2 linked regions of the Mus musculus genome follow. The protein of the gene in region 1 interacts with the protein of each later gene in a pairwise test. Links are inferred from orthologs where the notes say so. Each region holds a gene or a part of one and is shown in the gene's direction. Other genes may lie near its edges.

Region 1 (4,274 bases):
AGAGAGCATAAGCAGATGAGCAAGAAGTTTATTCATCCCATCCAAAGAAACCGCGTTTGAAAGTCCGTCTGAAGGTCGGGAAAGTGTCTCTTTCGCTGAACGAAGGTATTCGGTTTTTCTCAAAACGATCTGCCTAATGTTTTCCAGTGCTGTCTCTCTAGTAGTCGTGTCTCTGCTGCACAGTCCCTCCCATCTCGCTTCATTCTCTCCTTCAGCCATGACAATCAAGAGCTTTTTCTTTTTCAGCGTTTAGTCAGTTACCTTTCAGCATTCCCCCAAAGCAGCCCGTCGTTTGTTTGTTTTTTAAACAAAAAACAAAAACAACGAGAAACGCTAAGAATAAAGTCAGAGAAATCCAGCCGTCGTGAAAGCAGGCGTCTGGATGGCACTGGGAATCACACGTGCTTTTTAAAGTTGATGCTTTCAAATCGATCCACAAGGCGGATCACCCAGGCACCCTCTCCTACACGAGGGCAGTCTTCTGACAGAGATTGAAAAGAACAAACTTGGAAAGTTGCAATCTCACAGAGCTGGTTAGCTGGACACAGAGTCCCGGGGAAGTGTTCTCTGTGTCGCAGGGTCAGCGGATATCCTCACGTTGTGGAGCTGTCAAATCCGTGCTTGGTCCCAAAAGGCTGGTAAACAGTAGAAGGTTCTCCAGCCATTCGATTTTTTGTCTGTGCAGCGGCTGGTTCTCGACCGTTCCCACCCCGCCCTCCTCCGACACCAGTCTCCGCCCCCCTCGGCTCCTCCTAGCGCCGCGGCAGGGCAGCGGGCGGGTGCTGGCGGGGTAGGCGGTAGACCCTGGCCCTTAGCTGCTGGGGCCCGAGGCTCCGGTGCTCCGGGGGAGCAGTGTCCGCCAATCACAGTGTCAGCGGCGACTAAGGGCGGCGTCCCCAACCCTGCCGGTTCTTGTCCCCCGGGGTACGCCGATGCTCCTCTTACTCCTCTGTCCTCGCCCACCTCCGCCAAGCCAGAGGGCACCCCGCAATCCAGCAGTCATCGAGCCCAGGGCTGCACGGCTGAAGCAAAGGGCCCCAGGCACAGAGCCCGCCCCTTCGCCCAGCCCCGTCGGTGGGGATCGGCCCAGAGGGCGGGAGCAGGGAGGGGAGACGGGGTCCTCACCCCCAGCCCCTCCCCTGTCCCCGCCCGGGACCGCCGGGAGCCGCCCCTGCCCCATGCCTGCCTCTCCGCCCAGGCACACGCGACCCGCAAAGACAGCCATTGGAAGCAGCCCCGCCCTCGGGCAGAGTACCTCCGGACCCCGAGTCCAGCGCGCCACTGACTAAGACCGGCTGCTGCGCATGCGCGACGCCGGCCAGGGCGCATGCGCTTTCCGCGGTGTTGTCCTTTCTCGACGTTTGGAGGCGCTGGTTTGAAGAAGGGGAAAGAAAAGTAAGGAGTACAGATGCCCGGAGATGTTTATCGAACAAGAAAAGCCGAACAAATAAAGGTGCTCTATAGTATTCCAAGTAGAAATGGGATAGAATTATGAGTGACAGCCAAGCAGGCAGGGCTTTGCGTTGGCTTTTGGGAAATGTAGTTGTAATGCTAACTACGCGCTCTGTTTGCGACAGAAACTACAATTCCCAGATGCCACCGCGACACTTGTCTTTGCCCGCGAACCAACGGTTCTGGAGGCCGTGGTTAACTGGGAGCGTCCATCTGGTAAGCGTGGTAGGCTTGGTTGTGACCCGTTCAGTGAAAAAAAATTTTTTTTTTCCCCTCGGAAACTCTGGTGCCGACGCCATCTGGGATTGCTTCCTTTCCGTCGTGGCTTGCCGGGAGAGAAATAGTGCAGGTGCTCAACACCTTTGGTTGGGTGACTGAGGCAAGGATTTGGGGATCATTGTTTGGAAGGCCAAGGAGCAGCCTTAAGACAGGCAAACTGGAAAAAAAAAAAAAAGAAAAGAAACAAAAAAGCAAAACAAAAAACCGACGCCGCTGCTTCTGCTGTCCTCTTGCACATAGGCCCGTGCTGAATGGATTAGGAATCCCTAAGCGTTGCCATTGCACCTTTGCCCTTACAGGGATCTGTTTTGTGCTGTCTTTGCTCAGTCAGATAGCATCCGAAGGGGATCTTTGAAAGCAAGTCTCTTGTGTCTGAGACTGAAAAGAACTTCAAATGTCCTTAGGTTTGGAAGGTTCTGTATGAAAAGAAGCCTATAAAAACCTCCTAAATGTGTTATCTTTGAACGATATGGTCATTTCTCTAAAGGTGTTTTTGGAAGGTTTTTAATAGACTGGTAATCGGATTCGATTTTAATCCTTTGTTTTACAAAGTAAACATAGTCATAAAATATTAATCTGGAACTAAAGAGATGGTGCAGTAGTTAAGAATTGTTCTTATACAGTACTTAAGTTCGATTCTCAGCCCCAACTTGGCAGCTCACAGCCATTCATAACTTTAGTTCCAGAGGATCTGATGACTTCTAACCTCAGTAGACACCAGGCATAAACCTGGGGCACAGGCATACATGCAAACAATACACTCATTGAAAAATCCAAAACCATAAAAATTAATGAGGCTTTTAACATGAGAAAAGTGTAACAATAACTTTTATTCTCCTGCTGTAATTGCTGTCTGGAGGCTTACTGCCTCCATCAGCTAATCTAGGCCCAATCCTGCAAGCTTCTAGCTTCTGTAAAGGCCTATAGTGTTTCCAGCTTTTGAGACTTCCTGCTGAATAAGCTCACTCTTTCTAGCTCTTTCTGAATTCTTGCTCTCTGGTTCAACTCAGCTGTTTTGGCCCAAACTCCTCTGACTGATTCAAACTGGCGTCTCTTGCTTCTGACTGAATTGCTCTGCTTGGCTTCAAACTAACTTTAGCAATGTGTTCTACTCTTCTGGCTCCTCCTTATTCTCTGGCTCAGCCTGTCATGTCTAGCTTGTTCTCTCTTCACCCTGTCTCTGTAAAACTCTCCCGGTAACACTGTCTCTTTTCCTCTCTCCCTCTGTCTGCTCCCTCCTATGTTGCCTCTCTCTCCTCTCTCATGAGAGTTGGGTAGATCCTAGTCTACTGAATCTTTTTCTGATTCATCACTTTGTTTCCCTCTCTGTTAGACTTCACTTTCAAACAAAGCTGCTTCCTTCTACAAACTTTGCCTTCATTGTTTGGGATTAAAGGTGTGTACTAAGGGTGTATCTGTGTTCTAACCAGAGTAGCTATGTTGCCGAATTAAAATCCCTCTACAGAAGAGTGAGAAAGATACCCCTCATCTTATTAGAACACTTATGTGGCCAGGCGGTGGTGGCACACGCCTTTAGTCCCAGCACTTGAGAGGCAGAGGCAGGCAGATTTCTGAGTTCGAGGCCAGTCTGGTCTACAAAGTGAGTTCCACGACAGCCAGGCCAGGGCTACACAGAGAAACCCTGTCTCGGAAACAAAACAAAACAAAACCAACCAAACAAACACTTATGTGTAAAATACAGTTGTAATACTATTTGATATTGTTGGCTAGAGGAACATTTAGCCCAGTCTTAGAAAGTCAGGGAAGTCTTCATCCCAAGGAAAATGAAGGCCAAATGAATAGCATAAGGCTTCAGTCACCAAGTGCCTTCTGTTCAGAAGGATGTCACTGAGCTTGTATTTTAAGATAGTAAATAAGTAATGTAGAGTATATAGCAAAGGAAACAATGACAGCCAGTTAGGAAGGAATGAAAGGTGCTTGGCTGTGGGAAAAAAATCTTCCTTTTCAGTGGGAGGAGGACCATTGCTGGATGGATGTGCAGGTTGCCTGCCACCTCAGGACAGCTGTTAGAAGATGAGCTTGCAGGGTGGAGTTGCCCTATTCAAAGACCTCCAATATTGAGAGGGTCTTTTAGCCTCAAAGCTGAGGGTGGGGGTTGGGTACACAGGGCTTTGCTTTTGGGAGTGGGTGACACAGACCATGGGCAGGAAGAGTCTGCACTGGGAGGGGGAGGGGTGCAGAGTTTTCTCTGCCTTGTTCTGGGTGGGCTTAATTCTCCAGAGTGTCACAGTTGACCAGCAGCCCTGGTTTTTATTTGGGGGTATGGAGTGTTTTGTTTTGTTTTGTTTTGGGTTTTATTGTAGGCTCCTCCAGTTACCTTTCTTCAAGTTAATTTATATACTTTGCATTCTTTGATGCAACAGCAGTTACTATTTGTAGCAGAACTAAAGAAAGGAAGAATTATGGAAATCAAGGGCTCTTGTGAGTTCTAAAGGTCATCCGATAACAATTTAATCATCCAGGTGGGATTAAGGATTCAAGAGGGACACAAGGTATAGGCAGAGGAGACATGGAAGGACTGG
Region 2 (3,648 bases), on another chromosome or scaffold:
GCACTTGGTCAGTATGTATACATATGTATGTATATGGGTTTTTTTGGAGCCAGGGTCTCATTATGTCCCTGTTAACCTCACCTCCCTGATGGTGGGATCAAAGGCATATGTCACTGTGCCTGCTTTACTCCCCAAATTTATCTGCAGATTTAATGCAGTTTCTTTTCTCTTCTCTTTGCCCATCCCCCATTCTCTCCTCTTCTACCATCAGCCTGGACAAACTACTTGATGCTGGCCTCTATACTGGGGAGGTGACTGAAATTGTGGGTGGCCCAGGTAGCGGCAAAACCCAGGTACCCATGGGTCCAACAGTGGGGGAAGGTTGGGGGAGGTGGGTGCACTGTCCTGAATTCCTGGGGGGGGGAGGGGTACTTGCAGGTGTCCTTGTGAGTTTCGAGGTCAGACAGACCAGATGTGTGCTGAGAATGGGTCGGCCTTGGCAAGTGTATGTTGTTGGAATTGGGCAGGATGTGTTAGGGAGCTGCCTGGTGGCTCTCCCTCTTCTCCAAAGGCTTAGGTTTACCCAGCATCTCATCTTGTCTCTGAAGGTGTGTCTCTGTGTGGCTGCAAATGTGGCCCATAGCCTGCAGCAGAATGTACTGTATGTGGATTCCAATGGAGGAATGACGGCGTCCCGCCTCCTCCAGCTACTACAGGCTAGAACCCAAGATGAGGAGAAACAGGTAGGAGGCAGGGTGGCTGGGGTCCTAGAAAATCCTGATGCTAGGAGACCTCATGACCCTGTACGCTGTAAGGGTTTACACCGTCTGTGGGAACCATCATTGTCCCTTTGAACCTGGAGAATCTTCTGCATTCCTAAAGCTGCTTATGTTAATGTCACCATCCCAGCTTGGCTGCCTCCCACACTGACTCTCCAGGAACTTTAAGGCCTTGCTTACCGTAAATCAGAGCAAGCAAGCACCTAGCATCTGTGTTTCTAGCCCATTTCTTGCGTGTGGGCAGGCATCACTAGTCAATCATATCGGTCCTTCCTGCTGAATGCTGAATGTCGTACAGCTCAGCACCCAGGTAGTCACCACTGTGAGATCCAGCCCATTAGGCAAAATCCATTTGCCATTCTGGATGCCAGCACTGTGTCTAAGTGCCTCTTTGTCCTTTCAGCTCTATGATTACTCTTTATGGCTTGCCTGGATCCCCTCTCCAAGTCCCTGCTTCTCTTTCTCGCCCCTCAGGCAAGTGCTCTCCAGAGGATACAGGTGGTGCGTTCATTTGACATCTTCCGGATGCTAGATATGCTACAGGACCTTCGCGGCACCATAGCCCAGCAGGTGAGCTCGCTCATCTGCCTGCTTCTGCTTTCCCCAGCTGGCCAGGGGTTGCCTGTATGCGGGCAGGTGTCTGACCACGGACTGTATTCGGAATGTATGTGTAACATCCCCAGCTAGGTTTGCACGAGCACACCCCCTAACCCCCAGGTGGAATTCTGAGGTGCTTAATTCCTGCGCTTCCTTGTTGGCAGGCTCACCAGCCCTGGACAACAGTGGGCTCCCTGAGTCCAGGGTTATACTGTCTTCACTTCTGTGCTCCTCACTGAAATCAATTAGAAAAACATTTGTGCCAGGCATGGTGGTGTCGAATGCCTCTAATCCCAGCACCTAGGAGGTGAAGGCAGGTGGCTCTGTGAGTTCAAGACCAGTCTGGTCTACAGAGTTCCAGGACAGCCAAGGACTACATAGAGAAACCCTGTCTCAAAACCAACCAAACAAACCCCCACACACAAACATTTTGTGTGTGTTGGGGGTTGCGCGGGGGGGGGGGGGGGGGGGGGTTGGTGTCTTACTATGTAGCTCTGGCTGGTTAGGAACTTACAAAATCCCCCTGCCCTGTCTCCTGAGTGCTGAGATTAAAGGTATTTGCTTCACCACATCTGGCTAGGAGACTCTTGAAGCAATCTGATTGTCCTCTGTGAGACTGGAGGTTGGCACTAAGTCCAGTGTCCGATTCTCCTGCTCTTCCTCTCAGAACTGGCAAATGGCTGCTATAGCCGCAAACATTTTGTACATTATCCACTTAGGTTCCATAGTTAAGCAAGTAAGTGATAAATTTCTCAGAATAGCCCTGGCTGTCCTGGAACTTCAAAGACATCTGCCCAGCTCTGCCTCCCAAGTGCTGGGATTAAAGGCATGTACCACTACCACCCAGCCTAAACTTGAGAAGGGGGGGTGGGGAGGGAGGAAAGAGCCCAAGACCTACATCTGCTGAGCCATCCCACTGGCCTCCACCTTCTAATAGAGGAGCTTGCCCAGGGCGGGCCCTAGAAGTCATTGGTTTGTGCTTGTCCCCATTCCAACAGGAAGCAACTTCTTCAGGCGCCGTGAAGGTTGTGATTGTGGACTCGGTCACTGCAGTGGTCGCCCCACTTCTGGGAGGTCAGCAGAGGGAAGGTGAGGAAAGGAAGGAGAGCCTGGGGACAGGGTGGGGACTTCACCTGCCATCCCTGTCCTTTGGCCCTCTGCTGCCCCTCCTCTCTGCTCCTCCCCCAGGCCTGGCCTTGATGATGCAGCTGGCCCGAGAGCTCAAGATCCTGGCCCGGGACCTGGGTGTGGCAGTGGTGGTAATTTCTAGCTCTCTGTTTCTCTTAAATGTTAGTTTGGAACTTAATAGCCCTTAAGAGGACAAAACCTAGAACCTAGCTTCTACAGGTCAGAAAAGTGTTACTAGCTTGCCTTTTGTTCTGTATGTGTGTGTGTGTGTGTGTGTGTGTGTGTATATATATATATATATATATATATATATATATATATATATATATATATATATATGTATATGTATATATATATGTGTGTGTGTGTATATATATATATATATATATATGTATGTATGTGTGTTTATGTATGTATGTATTTGACTTTTTGAAACAGGTTTTTTTTTTTTTTTGTACAGCTCTGTCTGTCTTAGAACTTGCTCTGTAGAACAGGTCGTCCTGGAACTCAGACATCTGCCTGCCTCTGACTCACAAGTGCTGGGATTAAAGGCATGCACCACCACCAGCTTTGAGAAAAAAAGTTTAAAAAGGAAGTTTGGTGACCTCAACCACTTGTAACTCCAGCTCCAGGAGACCCAATGCCCTCTTCTCATCTCCATAGGCACCTGTACTCATGTACATATACCCAAATGCAAACACATGTGTATACATGTAATTAAAACTAATGAAAATCCTTTTGAGACAGGGTTTCTCTGCATAACCCTGACTGTCCTGGAACTCCTTTTTGTAGGCTAGGCTGGGCTTGAACTCACAGAGATCTACCTGTTTCTTCTTCCTGGGTGCTGGAACTAAAGGAGTATAATTATTGAGTCAGGACTACCTATACTTTTAGCGTTTATGTTCTTTTTTTTTTTTTTTTTTCCGCGGGTTTCTCTGTATAGCTCTGGCTGTCCTGGAACTCACTTTGTAGACCAGGCTGGTCTCGAACTCAGAAATCCTCCTGGCTCTGCCTCCCGAGTGTAGTGCTGGGATTAAAGGCATGCGCCACCACACCCGGCTTTTTTTTTTTTTTTTTTTTTGGGGGGGGGGTCGAGACAGGGTTTTTCTTTTTTTTTTTTTTAAGATTTATTTATTTATTATATGTAAGTACACTGTAGCTGTCTTCAGACACTTCAGAAGAGGGAGTCAGATCTTGTTACGGA

What was found.
Region 2: the proteins of Cep57l1 (region 1) and Rad51d interact in binary tests that used the Homo sapiens proteins (3 or more experiments, as listed by UniProt). The two-hybrid records come from large-scale screens. The link is inferred for Mus musculus from reciprocal best matches to the Homo sapiens genes CEP57L1 and RAD51D.

The regions. Positions count from the first base shown.
Region 1 is NC_000076.6:41,806,967-41,811,240, reverse strand, and holds the start of Cep57l1 (centrosomal protein CEP57L1), read left to right. Parts: upstream 1-1,372; 5' UTR 1,373-1,453; intron 1,454-1,577; 5' UTR 1,578-1,593; coding exon 1,594-1,668; intron 1,669-4,274. Other genes in the region: Sesn1 (sestrin-1), read right to left, coding at 1-219. UniProt on the Homo sapiens protein: Centrosomal protein which may be required for microtubule attachment to centrosomes.
Region 2 is NC_000077.6:82,880,528-82,884,175, reverse strand, and holds part of Rad51d (DNA repair protein RAD51 homolog 4), read left to right. Parts: intron 1-211; coding exon 212-293; intron 294-548; coding exon 549-683; intron 684-1,193; coding exon 1,194-1,289; intron 1,290-2,314; coding exon 2,315-2,405; intron 2,406-2,504; coding exon 2,505-2,575; intron 2,576-3,648. UniProt on the Homo sapiens protein: Involved in the homologous recombination repair (HRR) pathway of double-stranded DNA breaks arising during DNA replication or induced by DNA-damaging agents. Bind to single-stranded DNA (ssDNA) and has DNA-dependent ATPase activity.